2 linked regions of the Coturnix japonica genome follow. The protein of the gene in region 1 purifies or fractionates together with the protein of each later gene. This does not show direct contact. Links are inferred from orthologs where the notes say so. Each region holds a gene or a part of one and is shown in the gene's direction. Other genes may lie near its edges.

What was found.
Region 2: the proteins of GTPBP4 (region 1) and NSA2 purify together in Homo sapiens (affinity purification with mass spectrometry; 3 studies listed by BioGRID and IntAct, counting the BioPlex papers as one, with this or other methods). This does not show direct contact. The link is inferred for Coturnix japonica from reciprocal best matches to the Homo sapiens genes GTPBP4 and NSA2.

The regions. Positions count from the first base shown.
Region 1 is NC_029517.1:9,317,288-9,322,207, forward strand, and holds the start of GTPBP4 (nucleolar GTP-binding protein 1), read left to right. Parts: upstream 1-1,651; 5' UTR 1,652-1,739; coding exon 1,740-1,787; intron 1,788-2,004; coding exon 2,005-2,175; intron 2,176-3,398; coding exon 3,399-3,502; intron 3,503-3,580; coding exon 3,581-3,717; intron 3,718-4,553; coding exon 4,554-4,654; intron 4,655-4,920. UniProt on the Homo sapiens protein: Involved in the biogenesis of the 60S ribosomal subunit. Acts as a TP53 repressor, preventing TP53 stabilization and cell cycle arrest.
Region 2 is NC_029547.1:22,112,300-22,117,161, reverse strand, and holds the start of NSA2 (ribosome biogenesis protein NSA2 homolog), read left to right. Parts: upstream 1-1,661; 5' UTR 1,662-1,786; coding exon 1,787-1,789; intron 1,790-1,993; coding exon 1,994-2,181; intron 2,182-2,754; coding exon 2,755-2,905; intron 2,906-3,259; coding exon 3,260-3,439; intron 3,440-4,139; coding exon 4,140-4,332; intron 4,333-4,862. Other genes in the region: GFM2 (ribosome-releasing factor 2, mitochondrial), read right to left, coding at 743-827, 1,144-1,218. UniProt on the Homo sapiens protein: Involved in the biogenesis of the 60S ribosomal subunit. May play a part in the quality control of pre-60S particles.

The DNA.
Region 1 (4,920 bases):
TTGCCAGGGCAAGAGGCAATGGGCACAAACTCAAACACAGGAGGTTTGCACTGAACACCAGGCAGCATTTCTGTGCCATGCAGGTCATGGAGCACTGGACCAGCTTGCCCAGAGAGGTTGTGAGCACTGATCCTTGTAGATCTTCAGAAGCTGTGTGGATGTGGTGCTGGGCACCCTGCGCTGTGCAGCCCTGCTGGAACAGGGGTTGGGTGAGATGGACCCAGAGGTCCCTTCCTACCACAGCTACCTTTTGATTCTGTTACTCTGTGAACTGGTCTTTTCATGTTGTGGGACAAGAAAGCAATGATGATTGGGGCCATCTAATTGAAGCACACCAATTTGCTAAGTATATCCACCAAACACACACATGTGCATCTTAGTGTGCATCAAATGCAGACCAAATACCCCAAATCTAAGGCTACTTTTGGAATTCTGAGGTAACATTTTTGAGAAACTATGAATATTAAGCTAGAGTCACAGCCAGGCACAGTGACAATGTTCTGCTAGAGTGCTTCCTTGAACCCCTTGTGATGTCCACTCCCATGGCCTGTTCTCCCAAGTGCTTCTCTGGACAATCAGCACAGCACACAATCTGGGTCTTGCTGGGTGTCATCAGCCGCTCTGTAAGTACCAAAAACTTGGGATACCTGTGGACATGCCTAGAGAAGAGCTCCTTCTGCCCTATGAAACTTTTGGAGGCAAAGTACAATATAATTAAAAGATGAAGTCACGTCTCACTTCTTCAAGAATGCTTCGAAAAAGCAGGTGGAAATATTAGTATAAAAACATTTATGAAGCAGCACGCTCATCATAATGAGGCAGATATAGTGTTGTTGACAGGCTACAGCAAATGGGATGGTTCTAACTGCATGCTTATGATTGAATGGTGTTCATGTAGTCATTATTAAAATTAATTTCTGGAAAGGATTAACTACTGGCTTGTCTGATTAGAGAGAATCTTCATTTTCATGCACCTTAAAGTTTCCACTGCACTGGACGGCTGTTTGAAGTGCTGTCAGAAAAATTAGTAAAGCAGTGCAATAAAGGAAATGCAGAACTTATGCATTTGAACTTATAATACTGTAGAAAAAATGTGCAGTGACAGAATAATACGTGTCTAAATTCTCTCAAGGGGAAAATGTCACACTTTATAGGGGGGGGGAAGCCCACACTTTTGAAGAGAATTTTCAGTTTTTCATCATGAAAGCCTGCCAGCAGAAGATGTACAAGCTGGTTTTGGACACTCAGACCACCTAGTTTCTGGGCCTGGCTTTTCCAGGTCTAAACAGCTTTTGGCTCATGAAGAGAAGCTGTGGTCAGATACACACACTGCCCAGGCTGCTGACACGCTATGGGCCTGTTTCATCTCTTTATTTTCACACACCAGTTCCTCCCAGCCCACCTTGATTCCTCCATTTTTGTACAGTAACAGATTGCCTTGGGTTACAAGGCACCTCAAAGATCCTGTTCTAAACTTCTGCAGAGGGCAGGGCTGCCAACTACTCCATCAGACACCAGCTCCGGCTGCACAGGACCCCACCCAGCCTGGCCTTGAGCGCCTCCAGGGATGTGGCATCCACAGCACTGCGCTCTGACCCTTAACACCAAAGGAAATGAGCTTTTAAATCACACAACTTGACGCAGGCGGAGTCAGACGAGCCCTCGCGAGACGAGACTCGAGGCTCCGTCTCTCTCCCGGCCTCTCTTCCTGTTTCCTGTGGCGTGGCGCTGAGGGCGGCATGGCGCTCTACAACTTCAAGAAGATCACGGTGGTGCCGTCCGCCAAGGTACGTTTATACGCGGTGCTGGGCTGGCAGGAGAGCTCTGTCCTTCCCCTTCCCTCCCTCAGGTTCCCAGCGGGCTCCGTGCTGTGTTGGCGGGGGAACTTCGCTCCGTGCCGGCGGGGTGTGGGTCAATGCCCGGCCTCCGCCTGAAGGGAGGGGGTGTTTATCGCTGTGTTCAATGGAGACGGCTGGGAGCTGACAGCGCTGCTTTGTTTTGTAGGACTTCATCGATTTGACGTTGTCGAAGACTCAGCGCAAGACCCCGACCGTCATTCACAAGCATTACCAGATCCATCGCATCCGGCACTTCTACATGAGGAAGGTGAAATACACCCAGCAGAACTACCATGACCGGCTGACACAGATCCTGTCGGACTTCCCCAAGCTGGATGTAAGTGCAACCTCCCACCTTCACACAGAATCACAGAATCACAGAATGACCCGGGTTGGAAGGGACCTCAAGGATCATGTAGTTCCAACCCCCCTGCCTGGCAGGGCCACCAAACATACACCTTTACTAGATCAGGTTGCCCAGGGCCCCGTCCAACCTGGTCTTGAACACCTCCAAGGACGGGGCATCCACAACCTCCCTGGGCACCTTCAGTTCTTCAGCAGTGTCACTTCAGTTGGCAGAGTGAACATTGCTCTCAGCCCTATCAGAGCTGGTTTTACAAGTGCACTCTGACATGGTGTGCGTGGTCATAACTTCCCAGGTAATCGATGATAGATGTAATCGGTGATAGAACTAGAGGGAATGGTTTTAAGCTGTGCCAGGGGAGATTCAGGCTGAACATTAGGAAATATTACTTCTCAGAAAGGGTGGTCAGGCATTGGAATGCACTGCCCAGGGAGGTGGTGGAGTCACTGACCATGGGAGTGTTCAAGAAATGTTTGGATGTTGTGTTGATGAATATGATTTAGCTGGGAAGTATTGGTAATGGTTGGACTAGATGATCCTCTAGGTCTTTTCCAACCTTGATAATTCTGTGATTCTGTGAAGTACAGCTGTGTGCAGGTGCCCACTGGGACTTCTGTATGGGCAGCTTCATAAACCTGTTTAAATCCTTCACTTGACTTTTCCTACTCTTTTTCTGTACACTGAATTCCTGCAAATATTGCCTGCACTTCAATATCTCATGATGAAATTTCTCCACATAAGTGCATAAATAGCTAAAAATACTTAGTCTAGAAGAACTGAAGGTGTTGCTTTCTCAGAAAGCCAAGAGGTTTATCTGGACATTGAAGAAACCCTTATTATCCAGTCTTGCCTGTGATTTAGCACTCAAACAAAGGAAGGAGTTAACGCCGTATTTCTGCTATAGGATGAATTTACTATTAGAAATTGCTTCTGCAGGCTTCTCGTGGTTTCATTATTCACTAGAGGAAAGTTCAGACTTGAGAACTGAAAGTATTTTGCAGTGCAAAAGACAAAATGGAAACTTGGTCTAAGCCAGTTCAAGTCATCACTGCAAAAAAGTCAAAGCATTAACAATGATGCATGTAATGACCAAGGGGATTATTTTTCTTAGGCAAGATAGTAATGAAAACAGTTTGGTTTGTCATCTTCAAGAAAATAAGGTTAATGCTATGTCCTTTTTTTTTTTTTGGTTTTAGGATATTCATCCTTTTTATGCCGATCTGATGAACGTTCTGTATGACAAAGATCACTACAAGTTGGCTTTGGGACAGATTAATATTGCCAAGAATCTGATTGACAAGTAAGGAAAGTTTCTTCCTTCAGTTCTGTTCCTGTGGGGTTGGTTGCTGCATCACTCCCTGTTTTGCTGTCCCTGCAGTGTTGCGAAGGACTACGTGCGCCTGATGAAGTACGGGGATTCTCTTTACCGCTGCAAACAGCTGAAACGTGCGGCTCTGGGACGGATGTGCACCATTATCAAAAGGCAGAAACAAAGCTTGGAATATTTGGAGCAAGGTTCGTGTAATAAATGTGCTAAAATACAGGAATATGAACACAGCATGCGCTGTTATTCATACAAAGAATAACAGTTTAAAACAGAAAAATGCATTAAGTACAGAAATGTAGGTAATAAAAATGAAATAGTTCTCAAATGCCCAGTTAGAATTCAATTTTCAACCAAATAGTTCTCTTAATTTAAATTAAAATGGTACAGAATGTCTGTACCTGCTTAAAGGTTGTAGCCATGCTTGTGTTTATCATTATTTTCACATACGTATATCTGAAAAATTCATCATAGAATCATAGAATGGCCTGAGTTAAAAAGGACCACAATGATCATCTGGTTTTGACCCTGCTGCTGTGTGCAGGGTCCCCAACCACCAGACCAGGCTGCCCAGAGCCACATCCAGCCTGGCCTTGAATGCCTCCAGGGATGGGGCATCCACAGCCTCCTTGGGCAAAACCTGTTCCAGTGCGTCACCACCCTCTGTGTGAAAAAATTCCTCCTAATATTCAACCTAAACCTCCCCAGTCTCAGTTTAAGACCATTCCCCCTTGTTTTATCACTATAAATCCATGTAGACAGCCGTTTCCCCCTCCTGTTTCAATGCTCCCTTCAAGTACTGACAGGCCACAATGAAGTCTTACTAGAGTCTTCTACAAACTAAACCAGCCCAGTTCCCTCAACCTTTCTTCATAGGAGAGGTACTCCAGCCCTCTAATAAGATAATTATCAGTTATTGCTAAATGCTTTCCAAGCAGTGGTCCTGTATTTAAATGTATACATCAATTTTTCTTCCGTTCAAAAGTGAATTAAGACAAATACTTCACTCATCTTTTAAATGTTTCAGTGCGACAGCATTTGTCTCGTTTGCCAACCATTGATCCCAATACAAGAACTCTTCTGTTGTGTGGCTATCCAAATGTTGGGAAGTCAAGCTTTATAAATAAGGTGCGTGATTTTTCTTTAAATGATACTGAGGTACCATTTAGCTGAGGTAGAATAAAATATGATGTTGTTATAGCACTGTCTGGTCTGTGGGGAAGCAAATTCATACAGTTGAGTAGAGCCTGACTGAAGTTTCTGGAGGGATATATGTGAAATTAAAGCACGTTCCACTCATAAAGTTGTTTTCTTTCCCAAATTAGTGTGTATGTGATTAATCATTTTCTGACAGATGAACGATTGCAGAGAAACAGCCTATATAACCATTCTTT
Region 2 (4,862 bases), on another chromosome or scaffold:
CCTCTTCCCAGACTAAACAGCCCAGCTCCTTCAGCCTCTCCTCATAGGCATATTCTCCAAGCCCTTCTCTGGACCTGCTCCAGCACTTCCATGTCCTTTCTGTACTGAGGTGCCCAAAACTGAACACAGTAGTCGAGGTGAGGCCTCACCATGCCGAGTAAGGGGCAGGATGACTTCCTAGTGCTGCTCACCACACCATTCCTGACACACACCAGGATGCCATTGGCCTTCTTGGTCTCCTGGCACACTGCTGGCTCATATTCAGCCGACTGCCCATCAGTACACCAAGGTCACTTTCCATCAGGCAGATTTCCAGACACTTTTCCTCAAGCCTGTAGGGTTTCATGGGTTTTTCATGACCAAAATGCAGGACCTGACACTTGGCCCTATTGAAATTCATACAGTTTACCTTAGCCCATCAATGCAGTCCATCCAGGTCCCTCATACTTCATGCATTTATTGGACAGGGATTACTGCAGCTTCCGTAGCTAATCTGGCTTTTTATCCACCTGTGTTTTTCCTTTTTCTTATTTCCTAAATCCTTATACCACAAAACTACTGAGAAAACAGCAGCAATACAAAACCACTCTTCCCAGTCCTTGTACCTTTTAACCACTCTGTGCTTCAAATGCCAAATATTACCAACAAAACTTTGCAAGTGTTCTTACTCACTTCTCAGTAACTCCTAGTAATAAGTCATAAATTAAATTTAGAAGCATAAAAATGTAATTTACAAGCATACCTGGTGGAGAGCTGTAGTTTCTTACACTGCTGTTTTGCTGCTTCATACTTAGGACTGTGACTTTTGGCTTCCTGAAACACACATGCTGCCAATGGAAGGAAAAAGAGAAAACACACGTAATTGTCATCATAATGAATTCATAACATGATAATTGATTTGTAGGCATAATTTTTCCAGTTGTAGAATTATAAACAAGATCTGAATCAACTGATGCTTATTAGGTATTTACATAAAGTGAAACTGTCACCTGTGTGGAAGCAGAAGCGCTTAAGGCCAGAGCTTAAATAAGAGCCCAGCCTCAACAACATTCAGGAAGCCCAATAAACATGGTTTCCTTGTTGTAACGTGGGTGATCTCCTCAAATTCACGCTGAAAGCATTAACATCTGTGAAGGCATTTACCTGGCTGCACAAACGTGACCACTTCAGTGACAATTTCGGTGCATTCCCTGAGAACTTCCTCATGATTCTCCACATTCTGAGGCTGCACCACAGTCCCGCTGCCTTCTAAAAGCCGTGTCTCCTGTTTCCACACGACTACATCAACACCTTGGCAACTCAGGTTGCTGTTTCTCTGGCCTGGCTGCAGCAGCAGGGCCTCACAACCCACTCACACACGGTTTCTGACCCGGGAAACACCCCCTTGTACTCTGGAAGGCGGTGAAAATTGAGCTTTTTAATTAACAAAATGCTACATCGTTAAAGTGACCGCAGCGCAGCGCTCATGAGCAGGCCGCGATCCGCCCCGGAAAGTGCGCGCCTCATTGTGCTCCCCCACAGCCAACCCATCTTCCTCGGTCCCACCGCTAACCAACACACACAGGCTTTAACTAACAGCCACGACGGCTTTTTCCGCACATTTCGCCCCTTTTCTGCCACGCCGAGCCGGGCCGCAGCCCTAGGGACCAGCAGGGTGCCGTCCGTCCCCAAGGCGGAACCAAAGAGCCGTGGGGATCGTTTCCACCTGGGGGCGGCCGGAGGAAGTAACAGGCCTTTTGGTTGAGCACGGGAGAGCGGCGAGGAGGGAGGACGACGTGTGGCCGCCATGGTGAGAGCGGGGCTGGGAACGCGGAGGGACGGATGGGGACCGGGACCGGGACCGGGACCGGGACCGGGACCGGGGCCGGGGCTGGGGCTGGGGCTGGGGCTGGGGCTGGGACCAGAGGTGGCCCCGCTGCCCCGCGCTGTTGTGGTGCTCCCCGGCCTCGTCCCGTTGTCGTGAGGCTCTAAACACTTTACCCTGTGCCCATAGCCGCAGAACGAGTACATCGAGTTACACCGCAAGCGGTACGGATATCGGCTGGATTACCATGAAAAGAAGAGGAAGAAAGAAGGGCGAGAGCCTCACGAGCGCTCCAGGAAGGCCAAGAAGATGATAGGGCTGAAGGCTAAGCTGTACCACAAACAGCGGCACGCCGAGAAGATCCAGATGAAGAAGACGTGAGTCACGTTGTCCTAGCGTCGTGTTGGTGCCCTGTGTCTGCAGGATCGAGACAGCCTTGTACTTCTTATATGTTGCTTAATTGTGGGAGAGAGTGCTTAAGACACTTCTGATAGCCTCTTTTCTCTGTGCCTCTTTCTTCTTTTTTTTTCCCCTTACCATTGCAATGAATGACTCTGTTCCTAAAAGCATTCCTTAGCATATGCGTTAATTAGCAGTAGTGATTGCAATTATGTAATCGTAGCAGAATACAAAAGTGGTATATTGGCTTTCAGTCTGATGACAGCATGACTACAGGACATGCTTGCCCATGTCTGTTAGGCACTTTGCTTTAAGACAGTTCCTTGGTAAGAGTCTTATACCGTGGTCTGAACAAACTGAGCAGGCTCTAGTCTGTCAGCTGTTGTGTTAAGAGAAATTACTGCCTTCCTATGAAAAGTATGTAGGCACTGTTCCTCAAATGTAAATGCTGTGTTAACCTTAGGGAATATTTTGAATAGGCACAACCTAAGCTATTGCATCTCAAAATTTGCTTCTTTTCTGATTTTAATACTGTTTGTTTCTCCTTGCAGAATTAAAATGCACGAAAAGAGAAATACAAAGGAAAAGAATGAGGATAAGACTCCTAAAGGAGCTGTACCAGCGTACCTGCTGGACAGAGAGGGCCAGTCCCGGGCTAAGGTTCTCTCTAACATGATCAAACAGAAGCGAAAAGAAAAAGCTGTAAGTAGCTGGATTAATTTCAGATACTTAGTATTTCTCGTGGTAATCACTACCACTCCATACTACCATAATCACTGTGTTACTGATGCTTAAGTGTCTTGCAGCTTGCAGGTGAGGTCTAAGCATTGATGTGCAAAAGCTAAAACTTTGAATAGGTTAGTCGCGTTGAGCAAAGTAAGCATGTGCAAAGAGTTGATTTCCATAAACCTGATTGCTAATTAAAGTAAGTAGCTATTAGTTGCGTAAAATACGTGGTTTACAGCAACTCTGATTAGTTAAATTGTATTTTATACTCTGATTGTCCGGTCTCATAGAGAAATGGCACATACCTAATGACAGTTGTGTTTCCTGTAGGGCAAATGGGAGGTTCCTGTGCCAAAGGTCCGTGCACAGGGAGAGACTGAAGTTTTAAAAGTGATTCGTACTGGAAAGAGAAAGAAGAAGGCCTGGAAGAGAATGGTTACAAAAGTTTGTTTTGTTGGAGATGGCTTTACCAGGAAACCTCCGAAGTATGAGCGATTCATTCGACCAATGGTAATGTTATTGAAACTTTCAAATATTTAGGTACTAATTATTTTAACTTAAATGTTTTGAGTTTGGCAAGGACTCACAGAATGGCTCTGGATGGAAGGGACCCATCTAGACCATCCTAGTAAGCTAGGTAAAGTAGAATGAAGTTTTATGTAGGAACTTCCTTCTGTGCTAATGCACTTGATTACTACTGAGTAAGAATGTTTGTATTACTTTCCTTTATGAAACCTGAACTTAGACTAGCTGGAGGTAGCCCTGCAGTCTGCATTGGAATATTTACATCCTGACTCACATAACTGAGATGACATCAATAAGTTAAAGCCATGAGCTCTCAAATTAGCATGGAAGATCTTCAGCAGAAGCACTTCAGAAGCTTCTGTCTTTTTCAAGCTGCTATGATTGTGTCAGCTGCAGGGGCAGCTCTGTTGTCAGGCTCATGTACTCCCTCCTGTCTGTTAAAAAAGCTGCATTCTGAAGCTACCCATTTAAAAAAAGAAAAAAAAAAAAAGCACCTAACCTTGTCATTAATCAGGTTCTTAACAAACATTCTATAGTAAGCAAGCAATTTTCTATGTTCTGGCTTGTTTCATTTTTCCCAGTCTCGTAAAATGTATAAATCTGAGGACGTAATGCTAGAAATGTTAAATTAGCTCTGAGGACTTGAAGTATATATATTAATGTTTTCTAACACCTTGTGCTACAGGGCTTACGTTTCAAGAAGGCACATGTGACACATCCTGAACTTAAAGCTACTTTTTGCCTGCCTATCCTTGGTGTAAAAAAGAATCCTTCTTCTCCTTTGTATACAAGTCTGGGTGTAATTACCAAAGGTACCGTCATTGAAGTGAACGTGAGTGAACTTGGTCTTGTGACGCAAGGGGGCAAAGTTATTTGGGGTAAGTACTTAATCTAGTAGCACTGCAGAACAAGTTTTAAGTCTTTATTGCCTGAGTGTATTGTGAAGTCCGTGTCTTGTCATAATTAATCCCTGTTGAGTTTTGGTTGTAGCAGAAGCAACTGCAGGACAGCTTTAAGAAGTTTTAATCTTAGGCTTTCAGTTCACACTTTGAACATCAAATTAGGTGGAACCCAGAAAAAGGAATGTGAATTATGAATGATTATGCCATGTTTTCAATGAAATTCATGTGTACAAATACCTTCATTGAATCAGACTAACTTCTTTTACCAGTGAGGCTGACTTGGACTGTGACAGAACCTATGATGTTTATGAATTCCTTGAGGTTCTGGGTATGTTACAAAGACAGCCTGATCACGATATTTTGAGAACTGGTTTGCAGCTCATCAGAAAGTGCATTTAGATTCACAGTGCATTCAATTTTGAAGCAGGAATTTCTTCCACTTCCAAGGGGCTTGTGGATTAAGTTTTCAAAATGGAAGAATCGTAATTTACTGTATGACTTTTAAT